Macaca fascicularis: one gene and its partners. Each later gene encodes a partner of the first gene's protein in a complex. Links are inferred from orthologs where the notes say so. Each region holds a gene or a part of one and is shown on either strand. Other genes may lie near its edges.

Region 1 (7,611 bases):
TGACACATACAATTTTAGATGTATGTGCACTTTTTTCTGGTAGAGGACCGATAACTTGCATCAAATTCTCAAGGAATTTATCATCTTAAAATGTGATAAACCACTGCCTTTCAAATGCCTATAAGAATGCATTATCATTTAAATGTTATTAAGCAAGCAAAGCTGACTAATTGAGGCTAGCACTGGCAAGTCTTGGTCCTTCCTATAAAAAAAAAAATCTAAGATTCTTGTAGAATTGCTCACTGTAGGTGCTCTGTTTCGAGAGGTAAGTTCAGATCAAACAACATGAAAAGAAATAGACTAGCCCAAGTTCAAGGGATCCTAAGGAATAGTTAGATGAGACCCAGCAAGAGAGTGTGGTCAGAGGAGCCAGCAGAACCAGGCACACTAGGAGACAAGAAATGGCAGGGGCACTATGTGAAGACTTGGGCACCACATTTCAGAGGGAAATGGGTAAATTGGAGCCGCCTTAGAGAAGAGCAACTTGGAGAGGGAGGGGTCCAGAAGTCATGTCACATGGAAAACTGGGGTAGTTGGAACAGGAAACATTTGGAGCAAGGTGACAGGGATATCTTCAAGTATTTTTAAATTGTTGCATGACTTGAATTTAGAATATTACGGCTTTAGATATAGAAGGGATCAAAGAACATTTGTACAAGGCATTAATGTTATAGGAGAGAAAACTGAAAGCCAGAGAGAACCGACTGGCTAAGGCAAAGGTGGGACTAGAATCCAGATTCTGATTCCCTTCCCAGTGCTGTTTGCCACCATTTCCAGCTGCCTCCCCGAGTGCCTTATGTGCAGGGAAGAGCTAGGACCAATGAATGACCATTTTAAGAAGATCGAGCGATCTCATTGTTCAGTGAGATCACTTGGACTCGGGAAGGGGAACATCACACACCGGGGCTTATCACGGGGAGGGGGGAGGGGGGAGGGATTGCACTGGGAGTTATACCTGATGTAAATGACGAGTTGATGGGTGCTGACGAGTTGATGGGTGCAGCATGCCAACATGGCACAAGTATACATATGTAACAAACCTGTACGTTATCCACATGTACCCTAGAACCTAAAGTATCATGAAAAAAAAAAAAAAAAAAAAGAAGGTCGAGCTTAGCTTGATAAAGAGTATTCCTTTGTAGAATAGGAAGCTAAGTGAGACAGTGATCTCACCATCATAAAGAGTATTTCTGAGGGAATGTGTATTCATGTTCTATAGTCCCTATACAAATTTACCACAAACTCAGTACTTACAACAGTAGTTTAAAATGGTCAGTGTGGCCATGCTCCTTCTGGAGGCCCTAGAGTAGAATCCAGTTCCTTGCCTTTTCAGCTTCCAGAAGCGGCCTGCATTCCTTAGTTCATGGCCCCTTCCTCCAAAGCCAGCAGCATAGCAATCGCTCACCCTGCTTCTGTCATCACATCTTTCTTTTTTTTTTTTTTTTTGAGACGGAGTCTCGCTCTGTTGTCCAGGCTGGAGTGCAGTGGGGTGATCTCCGCTTACTGTAAGCTCCACCTCTTGGGTTCACACCATTCTCCTGCCACAGCCTCCCGAGTACCTGGGACTACAGGTGCCTGTCACCACGTCCAGCTAATTTTTTGTATTTTTAGTATAGACGGGGTTTCACCGTGTAGGCCAGGATGGTCTCGATCTTCTGACCTCATGATCCGCCCGCCTTGGCCTCCCAAAGTGCTGGGATTACAGGCCATCACATCTCTTTGTCTTATTCTGACCTTTCATAAAGACCCCTGTGATTACACTGGGCCCACCTGGATAAGCCAGGATAATCTCCCATCTGAAGATCCTTAACTTGACCACGTCTGCAAAGTCCCCTTTACCATGTAAGATAACATACTCGTAGATTCTGAAGATTAGGATGTGGACATTTTTGGGGGGCTATAACTCAACCTACCACAGAATGTATGGAAAGGTTTACTGATGCTGGTGCAGGTCTTAGAGCAGATCTGGATTCAATTCTTGGCTTCAGCACCTACTAGTTGCAGGACCATTACCCCTTTGAGCCTTTGTTCCCTCATGCATAAAAAAGAAATAAAATCTCAACATTACCATGAGGATTTGTGGTAATATTCATGAAATGCATAACATATAACATTCTCTCAATGAATGGTAGCCATATTTATTTGAAAAACTGCCAGATGCTTCTCACCATACAAGAATTTAATAGAAGAAACTCCATTATTACATGGGACATTTGATAAAGTGACCTGCAGATCTCCTCTGAGATGGCTAAAATCTAAAGGAATAAAAATTTCGTTTCCTCTATAAACTATTCTCAGGGCCTCTTGTCCACTTCCCAGATGCAGTTACAAGGGAATCACTTTTCTGGATAGCCAATGGCTATCAGACTGTGCTTTCTGCCCCCTACAGTCCTGCCATCTGATTTTGCTGTGCAGCTCTGGTTGAATTTAAACAGGATTAGGAGTCTGTCCTGGTGTGTAATGATTGGCTAGACCAGGTGGCTGAGGCCAGGGCAGACTCCCTCCTTCACATCTGTCAACATACCTGGCTGCAAGCAAGTTGCTGCCTGTGACCACTGTCTGCAGAGGCCAGAGAGAGCAGGAAAGGAAGTGGAAAGGAACACCTCACCTTCATGCTTGGGGAAAAGGAGAAACCTGTGTTAATGTGTCTTCCCAATGTTCCACTCTCTTCAGCAATGGTTGGAAGAGCCGTGGGTCATCTCTGCTGAGTCAGGAAAGAAGCTGAGGGAAGAGTCAGGATTGAAAAGCAGCAGACAAGGTAGGTGATCTCTTGGGTCATTGGCCCTTCTCTCATGATCACAAAATGAGCACCGTACACAGCCTTGTCACCAGAGTGTCTCTGAGGATGGTCTGCTGAAGGAGATATGGTAGACCTGGGTATGTGTCTGAATTCAGTCATTTTTCCATCAGCCTATTCTGGAAAGCAGGCTGTATTTTCCTTCTGTCTTCTATCTCTTCTGAAAATTGTTGTTGCCCCTGTACGTATTTCAGAAACTTGGAAGGTTTTAAAAAAATTTTTCATTATAACAAATTATATGTGTGATTTGTTAAAATGATTTCATTGGTGGTAGCTCCACAAGCATGGTTTTGTTCCAGAATTTTCCTTGCATAATTTTTTTCAATTTTCAAGACATACCAGAGAGGACAGTGTAAGTATATTGTAGTACATGGTATAGAATAATATATTCTGAGAAATATACGGTCCACTCACAGGGCTGTCAATCTCATATGACAGACTCTTTCAGGAAGTCATGTGTATTTTTCTGCTTTGGAACCTAGAGAGTTAAAAGTTCTGAAATTACTGGAGCAGAATCAAGCCTATTTACCTAAGCTTATCACATCGGCAGCCAGGTCAATCATTTACTGGGACTAGGCTGCTTCTTACCCTGAGTGGAGGACCACCAAAGCCTTTGCTGGCCTGAGTCCCTCTGTAGAAAAGACATGGGAAACATAGAAGAAATGCTTCTCTGAAGCTATAGTCCAGATTCTCTTCTCACCAGAAGTAAGTTTTTCTCCTTCCTAGAATAGTAAATATCCCAAGGCCTTCCCTTCCCAGCTCAATGATAAACAAGCATGAGCAAAACTAATACGCAAACCTGATACCAATGCCACTTTAGGTACAGAGCTTGTGGCTGTGGAGGGAGCTTCCCTCATCACTGGAGGTCTATGGGGAAGAAGGAGATGATAACTATGAAACAAGTTATTGAGTGATTCTTGAGGAAGAATAAAGTTATAAAGTAATCACCAAAGAAAACATAGAAATTTTCCCCTTCAAGTCTATACATTCTAGAAATATGTTATTTTTATCAAGTATGATTCACTCTTCCTTAAGTCTGAATATAACTCCTCTAATTGCAGAAATGTTGTTATATTGTCACCACATACAACTTTCAGGCCTGTGCAGTGGTTCCTGGCTCCTATAGTCATTAGTTAGAAGCCTGGTAATGCTGAGGCCCTATTTTTCTGAACTCCCTTTAGGGAAGCAGTTGGGTCACCTAGGACAAGGTAATGTTTGACATTATTTTTGTCAATCAGTTGTGGAACCGAAGTGACTCACCTCAGGTAAGGTTTGTGGCTGAATATTTAGTGTCTGAGGCAGTTAACTAGATGCAAGAGTGGAGGCCATTGTAGACACAAACCCATGTGTGATTTTGGGTAAGTCTGTGCTACCTCCCAAGAATGTTGTGGAGAATTATGGAAAACTGATACATTTCTGTGAAGATATTAAGCACTGCAAAATGTTAAGTGTGAATCTGGCTGGCATCCAGAGGATGTTTATAGATAATACAAGTGATGGAGGTGGTTTTGACGAGGGAAAAGGATCTTGGGGTGATCAAATGATTGGCTAGGTTGGGCATGGTGACCCATGCCTGTAATCCCAGCACTTTGGAAGGTGAGGCAGAGGATTGCTTGAAGCCAGGAGTTCAAGATCAGCCTGAGCAATAAAGTGAGACTCTGTCTCTACAAAAAAAAAATTTTTTTTTTTAATTATGCATTGGCCATATTTCCCCACATTACCGAAGGCTGCCTTAGGGACAGACACACAGGTCTGATCTGTCCTTTTTTTGTAGCTTCTGCCTCAGGGCCTAAAACACAGTGGAAGCCCCTAAGGGTATATCCAGCTTTTTCTTTCCATTTCCTGAATATTGGATAGTAAGTAGAGGAAGACTACTCTTCAGATTAACTAGATTAGGATAGGCATTGTCATTGTTTTTAAATGTTAGGTAGTTAGAATATGGAAGTTAATTAATTTGTCCAAAATCATGCAATTAGTCTGAGCCTGGATTCTACTCAGTTCTACCTTGTTCCCAACCCAGTGCTTTTCCCATAAGGTCATGGAGATGACCATATGGATAAGCGTAAATTGAAGGGTCACTGAGGTAAGCAAGGCTGACCAATACAGTCAGAAGTTCTCCACTGGCTCTTGGATGTGCCATGCCTGAGCCACTGTAACCGAAAGGCCAGTACTGGACTTCCGAAAAGGATAGAACAGGCAAGAGCAAAAGGAAGTGTTTTTAGTTGTGGCAGTCACTGGAGTCTTCTCTGTTCTGTATATTTTCTAAATAACCCAGCTAATCCTCAGGCTAGGTCTTTGCCCCTTTTTATACTGTAGACTCAAATCCATGAGCCCCAACTAAAGTACAACATCTGAACTATTTCCAGAGAAGAAATGACCCTATCTCAGTCTTTCCCAAGGACCTCAAGAATTTACTTACTATCTCATCTCAGCAAATATCCACTCATCTAAATCTAAGAGACTTGGGCACAAAGAGGCTTAAAGCCAGAGAAACAATCAATAGTCCCTCCTATCAAGGCTCTCACCATCTGCAATCCAAAGATACCCATGTCGGCTTGGAGTCTAAATGGCTTGTTGGTGTCATTTGAGCAGTGAATGAGTAATGTACAGTAGAAGCCTTAATCCACCCCCCACCCCTATTTTCACTTTTGTTCAGATATGTCCTAAAGATTCCATTGGCTGTCTGTCATAAATTCCAAAGCAGCCACAATTCCTGAGCATTTACAAGATCAAGATAAAGAAATGCCATCATGAAATGAGGTCGACTAAATGTCTTTGAACAAAGGGTTTCTAATGACTTGCCTCACACGTATCTCAAGTGTGTGATAGCAAAGGCATTACAAATAGGGATTGCATCACCATGTCTACTAGTACCCTTTACTAATCAACTGACCTCGCATGAACTGTATTTACATGCCATCATTTTCATTAACTAAAACACTAGGAGAAAGAAAGTTGAAGCTAAAACACAAAGACTCATCACAACATTTCACCTGTATCAACTACTTACTATGAACTGCTGCCTTCTTATCTACACTTTTTTTCATTTAATTTTCATAACAAACCTATGCAACTTGCCCAAGTCACAGAGCTAGTAAGATGAGGTAAAATTTGAGTTGAGGTCTGACTCCAAATCCCATGTTCTTCAGCATTCTGTTCTGGGAAACATACTCACCCAACAGTGTCTACACTGTTCACGTTCTACATGTAAAAGAGTAAAAAAAGTTCTTTTTAAATTATTTGATCGGATCCTTAGAGTACATATTTATTCCCCCTTTCCACCCACACCAGATGTTCTTGATGTACTTGAGTATAAGCATAAAACTCAATATGACAGTGGTTTTCCTTTCTCTAGAAAAGGAACCACAAAACATACATGCACATATACACACACACAACAGCAATTGCCCAAGAGTCAGTGCTTTGATTCCTTTCTGAAGCTGAGAGAGAAAATTGTTCTTATCTCCTAGTTTATAAACATTGTTTTGTTTGTTTGATTGATTGACTTTAATGCAATGTACAAGACAAATTTGTCATTTATTATACCCAACTTTTTAAAAATTTTATTTCTGCAGTGAAATTTCAGTCTTTGAAATCAGCTACATTTTTCAAAACTGTCCAGTATGTCAATAGTTGTATTTAATCTTCACCTCAGCCCTGTAAGATGAGTACTGTTTTCAGATGATATCCTTTCAGATAAGGAACCTGAGACTTATACAGGTGAATGCCCTTCTCAGTCTCACTCAGCTAAGTCCCTTAGGTCTTGGGACTCCAAATTTTTTTTTCTTTTTTAAATTAAATATTCATGCAGTTCCCTGGATTCCTAAGTCCTACAAATGGTAGGAATGGGGCCTACAAGCTTTTTATTTAAATTTTCAGAAATTAAAAATGCCAAGTGAATACACAGCCTATTCTCAGGCAGAGACCATTCAAATATTGATTGCTTTGCTTTGGGCTAGAATTCTAACAGGTGAGTGTGGTAATACTGTTATTCTAATTAGATTTTCATAGAGTAATGAAAATAAAGACAATAATTGTTACTTAATAAAATCCGCCTTAAAGTCAAAAAATCTTTCAAGCCCATGTGCCCATGAGTAAAATAAGGTATCAAAGGGGTTCTTGCTAGAAGGATAAGCCACCGCTGTCTTCTAATTAGTTGTGTGCCTAGAGAACAGTATACATGAGTAGGGGCTAGAGACCGCATGGTGTCTTGAGATGCATAAGCCCTCTCTAACCCTGTAGTTAGATGGTTGTCTCATGAGTCAAACAGTTGCCAAGTGGTATGGAACCTAAGAAAGTCCTTCTACAAATTGAGAATCCATTATTGTAGTTTCAACCCTACAGAAACCGGCTAGAGTTACAGGAGGAAACCTCATGCCCTAGGAATTCCATTTCAGTCCTAAGATGTTCTGAAGGGTCAGGGAGCCCTGCATCAGTTATGCATCTGGAGATCAAGTGTTTTCTTATCCCTAATGCTTCACTGGGAATTGCCCCTGGCTGGCTGCCTGAGTCTCCATCCCATGCGACAGTCGTGTTGTCCACATCCTTGCTTTGGTGTTAACGTGCATCCTCATCATACTTTTTGGTACCCATTTCTGTGACCTCTGAGGTTCTAAGGATCTTGGTGCAGGAGAACCCATAGTTTTGGGCAATGATCAAGCAGAGTGAATGAAACTTCTGCCCCTGACCCACCCAAAACTTGTTTCCCTCCTCTCTAAGTTCCAAGGTCAAGTCTCCCATGAGAGCAGTAAAGGAACTGAAGGTCACAAAATGCTGGCAATTCACCATGCCTTGGAGGGTTTCCCAGAAAGTAA
Region 2 (7,306 bases), on another chromosome or scaffold:
AAAAGTAGAAATTGGCCGGGCGCGGTGGCTCAAGCCTGTAATCCCAGCACTTTGGGAGGCCGAGGCGGGTGGATCACGAGGTCAGGAGATCGAGACTATCCTGGCTAACATGGTGAAACCCCGTCTCTACTAAAAATACAAAAAACTAGCCGGGCGTGGTGGCGGGCGCCTGCAGTCTCAGCTACTTGGGAGGCTGAGGCAGGAGAATGGCGTGAACCCGGGAGGTGGAGCTTGCAGTGAGCCGAGATCACGCCACTGCACTCCAGCCTGGGAGACACAGCGAGACTCCGTCTCAAAAAAAAAAAAAAAAAAAAAAGTAGAAACTAATGCAATAGAAACAAATGTAAGTAGAAAAAAAGTAAAGCTAACAGTTGGTCCCTTGAAAGAACTTACAAAACTGACAAACCCTCAAGACTGATTAAGAGACAATATACGAATTACCAATATCAAAAATTATTAAAAGGGGACATCACTACAGATCTTGCAGATAATAAGGACTGTAAACCACTTTAAACTTACAAATTGGAAAGTCTGGGTGGCCTGAACAAATCCCTAGCAGGGAAAAATGCTTTATCTAAATAGACACATGAAGAAATACTCAAAATCCTACATCTACCTATAAAATTAATTCTAAAAATACTACAGGAGCTGGTTTTGCCAAAGAATGTTTTCAAACATTTAAGGAAGGTAACACAAATTTCGAAGGAACTCTTCTAGGGAGTAGAAAAAGAAGGAATATATTCCACCTTGTTTTACGAAACCAGCATAACCTCAATACCAAATCCCAACAAGGGCACTGAAGGAAAGTAAAATTACAAGTCAATCTTTCTCGTGAATATAAATGCAATAATCCTAAACAAAATATTACCAAATACAATCCAGTAAAAGGAGAATACATCAAGATCAGGTTGGAATTATTCTACAATTGTAAATCTTTTTTAAAAGGGAGGTGCTCTTTCTCAGGAGTTCCTGAGGTTGTTTCCCCAGGCTACAAACAATAAGCAATTAAAAAAAAAAAAAAAAGCAAGGTGCAGTGACGTGCATCTATAATTCCAACTACCTGAGAGGCTGAGTGGGAAGATCACTTTAGCCCAGGAGTTCAAGGCTACAGAGAGCTATGATGGCGCCACTGCACTCGGGGCTGGGTAATGGAGCAAGACCCCACCTCAAAAATAAACAAACAAATAAAAACAGTTAAATTCCCACATAACAGAAAAATCACATGACTGTCTCAAAAGATGCAGAAAATCCATGTTAAGAAATATAACATCTGCTCATGGTATTTAAAAAACTCTTGGCAAACTAAGAAGAGAAGAATTTTTACATCTGGATAAAGAACATCTACAGGGCCAGGTGTGGTGGCTCACAATGGAAATCCCAGCACTTTGGGAGACCAAGGAGAGAGGATTGCTGGAGACCAGGAGTTTGACACTAGTCTGGGCAACCGAGTGAGAACCTTTTTCTTAAATTACCAGATCTCAAGACAGACTATATCTACGGTAATTTAGACATTGTGCTATTTATGCAAAGATGACAAAAAGATCAAAGGAGCAGAAGAGAGTCCAGAAACAGACCCACACACTTACAGTCACTGGACTGAGATGACATAGATGACACTGCATGTAGTACACTGGGGAAAGAATGGTCTTTTTAAGAAATTATGCAGGGTCAACTAGATATCCATTAAAAAAAAAAAAAAAAGAGAGACTCTTGGCCCCATCACATACCATAAACAAAGTCAATTTCAGACAGAAGATTTAAAAATACAGTTTTCAGAAGACAATGTAGAGTATCTTCATGAACTTGACCTAGCAAATTTCTTAAGCAGGACACAAAGAGCATTAAACATTACTGAAAAGATTGATCAACTGGGCTACATTAAAAATTTAAAACTTCTGTGTATCAAAAGATACCACTGAGAAAGTGAAAAGGTAAACACGAGAGTCTAAAAACAATCTGTCATGCACATATGTACTCAGAATATAGAGAAAACTCCTTCAAATCAGTAAGAAACAAAATAGACAACCCAACCAACCGATGGGCAAAAGATAACCGTCTCACAAGACATCCAGATGGTCAGTGAACACAGGAAGAGATGCTTTACCTCTGCATGTTCCTGGCCATCAGGGAGCAGCAAATTCAGACCATACTGAGCCACCTACCAGCTAACAGCCACCAGAACAGCTAAAATTAAAAGACCCAACAAGGCCGGGTGCAGTGGCTCAAGACTGTAATCCCAGCACTTTGGGAGGCCGAGACGAGTGGATCACGAGGTCAGGAGATCGAAATCATCCTGGCTAACACGGTGAAACCCCATCTCTACTAAAAAATACGAAAAACTAGCCGGGCGAGGTGGCGGGCGCCTGTAGTCCCAGCTACTCGGGAGGCTGAGGCAGGAGAATGGCGTAAACCCAGAAGGCGGAGCTTGCAGTGAGCTGAGATTGCACCACTGCACTCCAGCCTGGGGGACAGAGCAAGACTCCGTCTCAAAAAAAAAAAAAAAAAATTGTAGTAATAAAATTCGACCTTCATAAACTTAGTATTTTATAAGATTAAAATGAGAAAAATCTTAATGATTCTCTAATCCAACAAAAAAGGAACATACAGCTCTAATGTCAAATCATTGTTGCTATAAAGGAAACCCACGTTTGGCTCATCAATCTTCCCAGAGAACTGACTACAGCCAAGAAATACATTAAGGCTAGTAATTATTCATTTACTAAGTTATCACTGCAGACCCATCATGTGAGTATAAATGTGTGTTTCTGCGGGTCTACCTGAATGCACCCCAAAGGCACTTAGGATGAGTAACATGGGGCCTAGACAGCTCTGAAACACCTAAGTAACCCACTTCTCTCCCACTATGCTCCGTGACACTCACCTGACACTTTTCTAGTTTTTACACTTTCTCCCTTTACCTACCATTAAGCAAATCCTCATTCAACTCCATGAGCAAAGTCTTTCAAACACTGGTCCAAATGTAATATACTCAGAGAAATAATTTCAGTTGTTCTAAGCTTTAAATTTTTTTTTTTTTTTTTGAGACAGTGGTGCAATCTTGGCTCCTCTGCAACCTCTGCCTCCCTGTCTCAAGTGATTCTTATGCCTCAGCCTCTGAGTAGCTGGGACTACAGGTGTGTGTTACCACGCTCCACTAATTTTTGTATTTTTGGTAGAGACAGGGTTTTGCCATGTTGGCCAGGCTGGTCTCAAACTCCTGACCTCAGGTGATCCGCCTGCCTTAGCCTCCCAAAGTGCTGGGATTACAGGCATGAGCCAACACACCCGGCCTAAGCTTTAAAATTCTCGTCTACCAAGGAAGAAGTTCCTAAGGAATCAATCTCCAGTCTTCTATCCCCTAAAACAAATGTGACTTACAAAACCTAGATGTTCTGATAAAGGTGGGCTATCAAAATAATATTTTTTTCTGTGAAATCCTATTTGTCTACTAAATTATATTAGGAAATTAGAAACACATGAGACACAATCCATGGGAAGCACAAGTTTAGCAAGAGAAGGTTGAAGACAACAGACCACATAGATTGGTTGCTTCAGAGCCCTTTTTCAGAAACTCTGGAGAACTTTCTGAACCTAGGCAGTTCCCAAAGATAGGAATGAAAATAATGAGGTATTTTCACATGACTTTAGAGTACAACAATTTGTTCTCCCTAAGAAGTTTAATCCCTAGGAACTTTGTATTTGACTTAGAAACACCAGAAACCATCATTTCACAAATGGTTATGGAAAATACTCATCTGAAACATTAACAAAAGATGACACCAATTAAAAAAAAAAAACATTTAGTGGAGAATAATCTACAGAGTCTCAAGTTAAAAGCACTCATACCTGTGGAAGTGCCGTGTTGAGCTGTCTCTGCAAGGAATCTCTTTCATGACCAACCTCATGTAACTTCCCCTGGGTTAAGGCCAGCGTTTCTTGAGTCTCTCTCAGTGTGTCAAGAAGGCGGTCCCTTTCTTCCAACATGGAGACCATCAACTGTTCAAAATGTGAATCTGCGTCTGGCTGCGAAGGGGAGCCGGAACCATGGCTTCCACCTCCTCCAGGGGGGCCTTCTGCTTCGCTGATGGTCGGCATCACCTCGCACATCATCTTGAAATGAAAGAGCCAGGCTACAGTCATCAAGTGCAGAATACAGGTTCCCACAAATATGCAACTTTACAGGTATCTGTAGCTAAAAAGAGGGGCAGCCTCATTATCCTCAGATCTGTTACGCTTTGTGTGTAAATAAGCTGGGAAAACATATACCGGGCAAATATTAAGTGCAGAAATACACAACATGAAGACATTAACACAGACCAAAATCCAGGGAAGGGGTCAAGATACCAGAGGACTACCCTCACAAAAAAGGGCAAACCCTGGGGTAGTCTGTTTGCAAAGCTGTACTTGTTTTTGTCGAAAACAAGTGTGCTTCTGTTACCTAATTTTTTTTTTACTTCCCAGTGGGGGGGGGGGGGGGGAAGAAAGTCAAAACACATGTCACCCAATCATTTTTCAGGAAAAGCACAGAAGGAGCATACAGCCAGCAAAACTGACAAGTACAAAATCCATCAGGCATCTTGCAGGAATGTGTGCAGTCAGCTCCTGTGAAGAACTGACGGCTCCCTGAATTCTTGAGCTGGAGCTGGTGAGCACTAAAAGGAACTGGATTCGTTAAACGCTGGCAGAAGTGTTTTTTTTCAATGGCTGCAACGGTTGATCAGTCAACCTAACTTACGTAAGTTTACAACCGAAAAAAAAAAAAAAACTCACAATGGAAATATAGCAGGTCGATATACAGCCGGAGGCGGCTAGGAAAGAGGGAAAAGTGAAAGGTGAGATGATGAGAGGCTATTAAGTGTCTGGGATGTAAAGACAGCGCGAGGGGATGGGGAAGTCGCTTCTGAGTCTTTCGGGCAGTATTCGGGGCGCGATGGACCCCTGAGAGAGGATGGCCCAGGCGGCGCACCTGATGGGGATGACCTCCAGCCTGCTCGAACCGTACTCCTTCCCCTCCTGTATCAGGTGCGGCGGGAGCCCCGGACCCCGGAGGTGAGGACCGTTGACAACGGAGCCCGCTCGGGCCGGGGCTTTCAGCGGCCGCAGTTCCCCGCCCCTCGCCCCAGCGCCCAGGTCACGGGGCGCAGGGCTCGGGGAGGGGCGGCGCGCAGTCCCCGGAGCCATCCCTCGGGGCGCTGGGGTCCCGCCAGAGCTCTCCCAGCGCGACCCGGCGCCGCGGCCTCGCCCCCACCCGCCCCGGAGCGCACCATTCCTCGCGAACACATCCAACCGGCTGCGTGGCCGCCGCGGAGACCGGGACCAGCCGGTGACGCCTGGGCCCCGAGCCTGCCTCAGTGTCCCGCTCCCTTACCTTGCTCACCGGCGGGAGCGGGCGAGGAGGCTCCGCGGCGGCTCGCGGGCGGCTGCTCGCTCCGGGCGAGCTTGGGAGCCGACGAAGGCAGCCCGCGGCCGGCGTCCGCCTGCCCGCCCCACGCCGCGGCCCCGGGGCCCGCCGCCCCAGTCACTAAGGCCGGCCCGCGGCCGGACACTGGCGGAGCGGAGGAGGAGCGGGCCCGGCTGCGCGGCGCCGGCGTCGACGTGCCCGACGTCGAGCGCGTCGGCGCGAGCGTCAGCACCGCCCCGGGGGCGGGGCCCGAGGAGGACCGCGGCCCGAGTGCGCAAGCGCTGTCGCCTCAGGAGGGGGCGGGCGGCTGCTCCGGGGAACTGATTGGCTGAGCGAGACGGGAGCCACGCCCCCAGGCCCCGCCCGGGTCGGTGGGGGGGTCTCCGGGATGAGCCACAGGTGGGCGCTCAGGTGCTCGCCGGGTCAGCGTCTTCCTCCGGGCATCCCTAGTCTCCTCCCACTGCTGCGGGGACGCCGGCGGCCTTTGCCGAGTATGTGCCGCGCCTCGGGTTCTGAGGCGGACGCGTCCCGCACGTCAGGTCCCTCCCGAGCTGGAGGCGCTGGATTCGCACCTTGTGAGGAAGAGCGAGCCGAGGCTTCAGCCACTGCCGCGGGCCCAGACCCCTCCCGCCGCGTCGCTCCCAGGGTCTCCCCGGGCCTGATCGGGGTTCAGCAGGACGCGGTTCCCCCCAGGACCGACTTACGGAGCGCAGCCTGCTGCACCTGGGGACGCTCCGGCGCAGCGTCCAGCGTGCAGGCTTTGCCGCTGTGGCTTTCACTCTGCAGCGTGGGCCCGGGCGATTCGGGAAGCCCGCCTGGGCTTCAGCGCCTCCGATGTAGGATGGGAAAATGATGCAGACCTACCTGCGAGGCTGCTTTAAGATATGAATCAGATGTGAAGAGTGACTAGTTGAGAACCTGACGGGCGGCCCTGCAGAAGTCTTGGTCATTTCATTCTTTCCGCAAGTTTTGTTTTGTTTTGTTTTCCCAGACGTTGTTTCACTCTCGTCGCCCAGGCTGGAGTGCAATGGCGCCATCTCGGCTCACTGCAACCTCTGCCTCCGGGTTCAAGTGAGTCTCCTGCCTCAGCCTCCCGAGTAGCTGGGATTACAGGCGCACGCCACCTAGTCCAGCTAATTTTGTATTTTTAGTAGAGACGGGGTTTCTCCATATTGGTCAGGCTGGTCTTGAACTCCCGACCTCACGTGGTCTGCCCGCCTCGGCTTCCCAAAGTGCTGGGATTACAGGCGTGAGCCACTGCGCCCGGCCTCAGCAAGCATTTTTAAACACCTACTGTGGGCCAAGTCTTGTGCTAGATGTTGTATTTACGGAGATGAATAGAGACACCTCTAATTAATGAAAGAGGGTGCTCTCCCCACTCCTCCCAGGGTTTGACTTGGCGCAAAAACTCTTCACAAACCAGAATGACAGGACACCATCGCCAGTGTCCACTGGCCACCGTTGTTGGTGTGAGGCAGCCAGGAGCCCCTCAGAACTAATAAGTCTGAGAAGAGACTGCACAGGGGAGGGAGAAATGAGCCCGTCCAAGGTGAATTCCTTGATTCTCCATTGTGAGTGCACTAAGAACAAGCACTGCCTCCGACTGACTTTCTCGCCTGTCAGGATCTGGTACACCTTCCATTAATTTATTAGTTCATTCAATAAATATTTATTGACTGACTACACATAAATATGAATTTGTACTTTTTGCCCCTAGTTTCTTGCTATTTTAAAAGTGTAAAAATGGCCAGGTGAGGTCGGGTGTGGTGGCTCACGCCTATAATCCCAGCACTTTGGGAGACCCAGGCGGGGAGATCACTTGAGGTCAGGAGTTCAAAACCAGCCTGGCCAACATGGTGAAACCCCATCCCTACTAAAAATACAAAAATTAGTCAGGTGTGGTGG
Region 3 (7,480 bases), on another chromosome or scaffold:
CAATGAAAGGATATTAAAATAATGTCTGGATTATCACCAATGCCATGCTTAGGATCAGACAGAATAAGCAGTAATTTCCTTTAGAAGGAATTCTAAAGCTAAGCTTGTTTCATTTGGATTTGGGTTCATGATTTATACCATGTGTTTAACCCACTCTGCGTTTGGCAGTGTAACTGGGATAACAACAACTGGAGGCACCCGGATCCTTTGTGATCAGTCTGGTCAAGTTATTCCTGAACTTCTGAAGACCTAGACCATAGCAGGTTATGAGCAAAAGACAGCATTCATTCATTCATTCATTTGGTGAATCTTTAATCAATATCTGTGGGACAAAACATGGTTCTAGATCCTATAAAGGATGTAAAGATGAAATAAATTAGCATTCTGTTCTTGAGGGCTGTAAGAAACTTGCAGCCAGAAAGGAACATAAGGCACCTATAAAAATAACAGTACGATTGTTTTATGTCATAGGAAAGAGGAAAATATGTTTGCTTATGACCTATGATGTGTCAGGCAAGGTGCTCTGTCATCTTGCATATGACATCTTGTCAGATCCTTGCAACCACACTGTGAGGTAGATTTTTGTAGAAACGGGCAAAAATCACAGTGAGGACATATTATTAGGGAATATGGGTGCAAAGTCATGCAGTTCATGCACTGTGGGGATATGAAGAAGAGTGGAAAATAAGTTCAGAAAGGTAAGTTGGGGGCAAGGATGTGAAGGCTTTTGGACACTAGTCAAGAAAGCCTGATGAGTTTTGTTCCTTGGTAAAGGGAGAGTCATTTAAGTTTTTAGAGTCAGGAGTGATCAGGGTTGTGCTTTAGAGAGCTGCACCTGGAAGCCTATAAAGCCCAGACAGGCAAATGATGTGGACTTGATGAGTAGGGTGAGCCTCTTATGGCATCCGTATCCAAAGTAGGGGAGATGTCCTCATGCCTGCTCAGGTTTGGGGATGGGGTGACAGAGAGAGTCAGCTTGTTCTGTTACTGCAAAGGGCAGAAACGACAGTGTAAATTGTGGACAATCAATGCTTTAGAAATAGAAAGACAAAATAGGTTTGGAGTCAAATAGACCTTGGTTTCTTTTCTTTTTCTTTTCTTTTCTTTTTTTTTGAGACGGAGTCTTGCTCTGTCACCTGGCTGGAGTGCAGTGGCGCGATCTTGGCTCACTGCAACCTCCGCCTCCCGGGTTCAAGCCATTGTCCTGGCTCAGCCTCCCGAGTAGCTGGAATTACAGGTGTCCACCACCACACCCAGCTAATTTTTGTATTTTTAGTAGAGATGGGGTTTCACCGTGTTGGCCAGGATGGTCTCAATCTCCTGACCTCGTGATCCGCCCACCTCGGCCTCCCAAAGTGCTGAAATTACAGGCATGAGCCATCGCGCTCGGCCCCTAGACCTTGGTTTCAATCCCAGTTCTGGGCAATCTGGAGCAATTTACTTGTATAACCCTGGAGAGTCTTTGATTCCTCATGTCAAAATGATGCTAGTAACACTTACAGGATGTTTGTGACGATTAAATGAGACACAAGACAGATGTCTTTGGGGAGAAAGTCAGTAAAGCAGGATCTAGATGGAGATGAGAAAGATCTTTAATGGTGGGCTGCTTGCTTCTTTGTGTGTGTTACTGGTTGCCAGATGAGTTCAAGCAGGGGCTGGAAGCTACCTGTAAGGAATGTTGATGAAGGGTTTCTTGCATTTTAATAGTGGTTGCATCAAATGACTTTTAGGATCCATTTCAAGTTCTAATTGAGTAGTTTACTCCTGCTCCGCGGTGTCTCTTGCTCCCTAGCCCCCAATAGTGGTTCTCTTTGGCAAAAAGTTACCAAAGGTGAGGCTGGTCATAGGAATAACTAGGCAGAAAATATCTAGACCTACAGAGTAAATTAGCATTGAAACCATAGGAATCATAAATAATCATTTGCACTAAGCCAGCTAGGAGCCGGGATAGTGAGTAAGTTCTGGTTACCTTCTCATCAGGCATCCTGTGTTGCTTCTGCTGCACTATCCTGATTTTTTTGGAGTTTCCCCAAGATACCCAGAGGCCAGTGATTTCAGTATGTTTATTTAAGGGTTACACTGTCTTCAAAAAATGAAGTATCATGGTGAAGCCTAAATGTAGAGCAGATAAAAGAGCTGTAACTCTGGTTAAAGAGGCGGGGGCGGGGGGCGGGAAAGAGGCTGAAATCTCAACCATTGGTTCCTTCGTCACCCACCCTGTAACCTCTAGCTTGAACATTACTGCTCCAAACCTGGCCTGTTTTCAGCCTTCCCTTTGAGTCTTTTGTTTTCTGGATTCTGGATGGCAGCTGTTATCACTCCAGCTGCAGAGAGGATGGGAGGCGACTTCCTGTTTTTCTATCCTGCCATCTCTGTGGGGGTGGGACATTCCCTCCCCCATCTCCTGCGGCTGCCTGTAGTTTTGGAAGAATGTGAGCCTGGATGCAGCCGTCCTGACTAGGGCTGTAGGAATGGCTGGTAGCCACCCAGCCTCTGTTTGAAGGCATCTGGGAGCAAGACAGGCAACAGACACTGATGGACAAGTTGTGTCCCTGACTGTGGGACAGGGAAGGGTGAGTAGCTAAGAGAAAGGTGAAGTAGTTGGTCCAGAAGTAATCTGAGGGAGTTAAGGGTGTTGAACAAATGGTGGGTAGGGGTGTGGGAGAACGGAAGGGCTCTGGCCAAAGCATAAAAAGATAGAAAGAGAGAGAGAGGAAAAAAAAAGAACAAGAAGAAACAGTTAGTTTTTGTCTGAGATATTATTTGGGGATACAGTGCATTTAAAGAATGGAAGAGAATAGAAATGATACAATGATCCATTTTCTCACGCCCTGTATTTTTATCGAGCCTTTTCCTTGAATTGGGTACAAGGAATATAAAGAGGTCCTATAAGCAATATGCTTGCTCTTCAGAGTTTGGGAAGGCAGGAAAGGCATTTAACTGGACATGTATAACCACATGTTTACACATCTCTACAATCTCAATCCTTATAACAACCTTTAACGTAGGTATTGTCAGCCCTATTTTAAAGAGGAGGTAACTGAGATTAGGGATGGATGTTTTAGTGACTTGCCCAAAGTTACCCAATAGGTAAGTGGCAGAGCCAGGCCAAGAACCTTGAGTCCTTTTTTCTGTCCGCTGTAACACACAGCTAAGTCTTGGCACAGGACAAGGACTTTAATTAGGCTTTGAGAGAAGGGTGGGACTTAACACACAGATGAGTGGGGATTCCGGTTAGGCCGAAAGGTGAGAATGAAGCAGGGATCTGTGAGTAGACCTGTTTTGACTACAGAGAGGGTTTCCTGGGAGCGAAGTAGGAGATAAGCTGGGAAAGGGAAGTAGAAGCCAGATAAGGGAGAGTTTTAAATGGCTAGAAAAGAATTGCCGGGAAAGGGGGACCTGATTTAGAGGGGAAGAGGTTGATGACAAAACCAAACATTTTAGAAAACTCATCTGGTAGTGGTACAGAGAAAGAATTAGAATTGGGGGAAACTGGAGTCAGAAATTCAAGTCAAGAGTTTGGGATAGTGCAGGCCTGACAAGCAACAAGGGGGTAATGATACAAAGTAGGTCTGTGAGGGCAGTGGCCCAAGCCTGTGGATTTCTTGTAGCATTCTATTGTTTGAAAAAATATATATTATGGACACTCAATACTTGAGATATGGAAAGAAAAACTATGGCTTTGGAGTCAAATAGACCTTGGTTTCAATCCAAGTTCCGGGTGATCTGGAGAAATTTACTTACATAACTTTGCTGAGCCTTTGATTCCTTATGTTAAAATAGGGCTAATAACACTCAATTTACAGGATGATTGGGAAGATTAAACAAGACACAATGCTGGATTCTGTGCATCCCTCTACAATTTTTGGCAGATCGGTGAAATGTAAGGCATGTCATCAATCAAAAAACAATGAAGCCTGGCGCGGTGGCTCACACCTGTAATCCCAGCAGTTTGTGAGGCAGAGGCAGGTGGATCACTCGAGGTCAGGATTTCGAGACCAGCCTGGCCAGCATGGCAGAAACCCCTCTCAACTAAAAATACAAAAATTAGCCGGGTGTGGTGGTGGGCGCCTGTAGTCCCAGCTACTCGGAGGATGAGGCAGGAGAATCACTTGAACCCGGGAGGAGAAGGTTGCTGTAAGCCAGATCGTGCCACTGCACTCCAGCCTGGGTGACAGAGTGAGCTGTTTTTTAAAAAAAAAAAGAGAAAAAAAGAAAGTTATTAATTCACTATATTTCTAGAAGATGGTGGGTTATATGCTACCTATATCTCACACAAATAAAGCTGCTTTTCACCATTCAGTCCTGCCTCTAAGTAGCATCTGCCTTGAAAGAACCATCTTCTGAGAATCTTTCTCTTCTGTCAGCCAAGGGGATTATACCGCATGATATCTGTCAAGGATAAACGTTAGTTAATTCTTAATTGATAGCTCAGCCACTACAATTGGTTCCATTCAACAGTAATTATTCTCATGTGGTTTGTGGAACTCAATTGTGAGGTCCCTCCTTCCTCCACCCTTTTCAGTGTGTGCATTAAAACAGCAGCCTTAAGGTCTTTAAACGAGTAAATAAATTTTTCTTGCTTCAGAGATTCAATTTTACTTGCCCGAGAAGCTTGTGTGGTGTGATTTTCATCGCTAAAAGCAAAAGCAGCCATGTGGCTGATAACACCACTTAGCAATTCAAAGCTCGGTCACCGTTTTCAGGAGTCGCTTCCAAATCTTTCTGAAGTGCTTTTGAAGCTCTACATTCCCCGTCTAAGGGAACACCCAGCAGTCCCAGGATAAAAGGGCAGAAGGGTGAGCTGACGTTTTCCTTTATTTGCATGGCTTAAAGCTAGCCATTTTCTACACCACGCGCCGCCGGGCTCGTACATGCCCGTGTGCCCGTGACACTGAGGCAATTGTTTCTCCTTAAAAAGGGGGTTCGCGTGGGTTAGTTTCGTTTCTGATCTGCAATCTCAGTAACTACAACAAGAAAAGTCTAAAACTCGACCCGCCAGGTTCTTCCCCATCGCATTATCTCCGTTCCTTAGAGATAGCAGGAAGGGCAGCATTTTCTTCCATCCACCCACTTTCAGCCCTAGTCTGGCTCAGCGAGGAATGTATAAAATTAGTGGACTCCTCTGAGTGACGTTCCCCGGCTCCAATCAGCGGGCGCGCAGGCGCCTCCGGCTCCGCCCCACTGCTGACTCTCTTTGGCTGATTCCTGCAGGGAGGGAGGAGAGAAGGGCGGCAGTGGGAGGGGGAAGTACCTGAACTGGGAGTGATGTCAGCTCCCAGCTCGGTGCCTGCCCGGATTCCTGACATGGTGTAGTGCAGGCAGGGTGGGGAAGGGACGGGGAAGGACTCGTGTGCTGCGAGCCGGCGGACGGGCCGGAGTGCTGGGGCTTTGAGCTCCAAGAGGAGGTGGACGAGAACTTTTGGAACTAGTGCCGGCGGCTCTCCACCCCCCAGGTAAGGGCGTTTTGCTCCACTACGAGACGGGAGGGAAGTGGCACCGTGTGGCTGCAGCTGGCTGTTGCAGCTGCTCCTCCTCTTCCCTGGGTCGATTTCCTTGTGCAACTCACTCCTGTTTCCCAATGGGAACGGGCACTTTTGGGGGGTGGTAAGGGTGGAGGGTAGGGCTTAACTCCTGGGGCTCCGACCGAGCTTGTACGTGAAGAATACTCCAGGATTGGACGTTTAGGTCTTGTCTGTATCCTTAGACCCCCACACCCTAGGTTCCCAGTAATACCTGAGAACCCCAACCAGAGGGGTGTGTGTCTCTCTACATTGGGGGATTTTAAAATGCCGCAAAAAAATTATGAATCATCGACTCAAAAATTATGCTCGTTGAAAAGAAAAAAAGTTTTGTATTTTTTTTGTCTCCTTGTGGCCTATTATATATTAAAAGAATATCAGTGTTATTCTTATATATCAATGTAAAATATCCTTTTGTGTAATCCAGTCAGGACGTGAGAAATTCACTTGGGGTGTGTATTAATTATGAGCTTGTGGGAAAACTCGTCTCTTGGGGGCACACTTCTAAAACTGCAACTAGTATTCGCTCATTTTAACCGAGAAATCCCTTCAGCTGCCAACTTTGTATTTGGAGGGGTTAGGATGGCTGCTGAGAATCTTCAGATCTGTTTCCTGTGGCTGCTTTAAAGGTGGGCTGGTAGTTGTGTTTTCAGGGATCTCTTTTAGAGAAGGGAGTTTTAACAGGGAAATGCGGTAGAAGGCGTGGCATATAAACTCTTAATTATAGAGTCGTGAATTTTTCAACATGTGGGACCAAAACAAATCCTTTCTTTCAGTGAGAACTGCGGAGAGCAATAGAAAGAGAACTTGATTTCAAAGTCCAAGTTTGGTATTTTGGGAAAGCAATTGCCTGTCGGGAGGAAAAAGATACTTTAAGAAGTGAAAAGATACTTTAAGAAGTGAAAGAACAGAATTCTGATTTTTGTTTATTTCCTGTTTCAAACGCTGTCTTTTTCCTGTGTGGAGATTTTGTGTGCCCTGGTCACTAACTGGGTGTGATTGACTTTCTCGAAGGGGCGGGGAAATTGACTCCATACACTGATTCAGGACCCTCTCATCAGTGCTTTAAGGCTCTCTTCTGGAGCAGGAAGGAAAAAAAAAAAAAAAGTCAGCGCTGAGACTCCTGAGTCAAGTTTCCCCTTTCTTTCACCGAAGTTCCTCCTTAGCAGTGAGGATCCTACTGTTGCCAGGTCTGGAGGAAATGGGAGTGGACTTCATTGTGAGTCAAAATCCATATCCCAGGCCCCTGAAGGAAAAAGCATTTCCAGGAGATGGAGAAAGAAAGAAGCCACAATAGTACCTCTAGTAAACCCAAGTCAGGAAATGGGATAGAGGACTATCCATGGGGTTCTCTATCTTTCTAGCCAGATGATCATTAGGTTTCAGAACTAGAAAGAAGTGTTTGGTTGTGCCGTTGTTTATGACATACCTGGGTCTGTATTGTTCTTAGTTCCTGCAAAAATTAAATAGGGTGGATAAATAGCAGGCTTTTTGAGAAAGGAAAATTTGCTTTATTGGAAAGACAAGAACATTTTAATTTTGGTTTGTATTTTGGCTTAAGACACAAAAATTGCAAATGGCCCTGCAATAATGGTGAACAAGTCTTTTCTATTTATGTTCTATGGGGAGTACATAAAACATACCATATTTCCAGTGTACTTTTTCAGTAGGATAGAGCTGTGGAGTGGGATAATGTGAACTCAGTGTAGTGTTCCTTGGTTGATAGTGTTCCAACTGCATTTGTAATACCAAAAGATGGGGCTGCAAAAGCCAGACGGTTAAGTAGAGAAGAGTATCTTTAGGACGTTATCCTTATGTGCCAAATTCAGATTTACACTTTCTTTCCAAGAAACTAGTCCTAGTTGAGGGACTTGAATATACCAAAACTCTAAATTTGATTCACAGTTTGAGTAATAGCAGTAATTTTACATACTTAATTTAAACCAATATTTCTCTTT

Evidence for each region. Proteins that work in one complex are often made in the same cells at the same time.
Region 2: PHLDB2 (region 1) and PPFIA1 share a complex: the UniProt entries of both Homo sapiens proteins name them as parts of the cortical microtubule stabilization complex. The link is inferred for Macaca fascicularis from reciprocal best matches to the Homo sapiens genes PHLDB2 and PPFIA1.
Region 3: PHLDB2 (region 1) and liprin-beta-1 share a complex: the UniProt entries of both Homo sapiens proteins name them as parts of the cortical microtubule stabilization complex. The link is inferred for Macaca fascicularis from reciprocal best matches to the Homo sapiens genes PHLDB2 and PPFIBP1.

What each region holds. Positions count from the first base shown.
Region 1 is NC_088376.1:171,345,083-171,352,693, reverse strand, and holds the start of PHLDB2 (pleckstrin homology-like domain family B member 2), read left to right. Parts: upstream 1-2,548; 5' UTR 2,549-2,655; coding exon of another isoform or gene 2,656-2,758; intron 2,759-7,611. UniProt on the Homo sapiens protein: Seems to be involved in the assembly of the postsynaptic apparatus. May play a role in acetyl-choline receptor (AChR) aggregation in the postsynaptic membrane.
Region 2 is NC_088388.1:4,396,160-4,403,465, forward strand, and holds the start of PPFIA1 (liprin-alpha-1), read right to left. Parts: upstream 5,065-7,306; 5' UTR 4,967-5,064; intron 4,111-4,966; coding exon 3,847-4,110; intron 1-3,846. UniProt on the Homo sapiens protein: May regulate the disassembly of focal adhesions. May localize receptor-like tyrosine phosphatases type 2A at specific sites on the plasma membrane, possibly regulating their interaction with the extracellular environment and their association with substrates.
Region 3 is NC_088385.1:30,261,454-30,268,933, forward strand, and holds the start of liprin-beta-1, read left to right. Parts: upstream 1-2,416; 5' UTR 2,417-2,573; intron 2,574-5,296; exon of another isoform or gene 5,297-5,456; intron 5,457-7,480. UniProt on the Homo sapiens protein: May regulate the disassembly of focal adhesions. Did not bind receptor-like tyrosine phosphatases type 2A.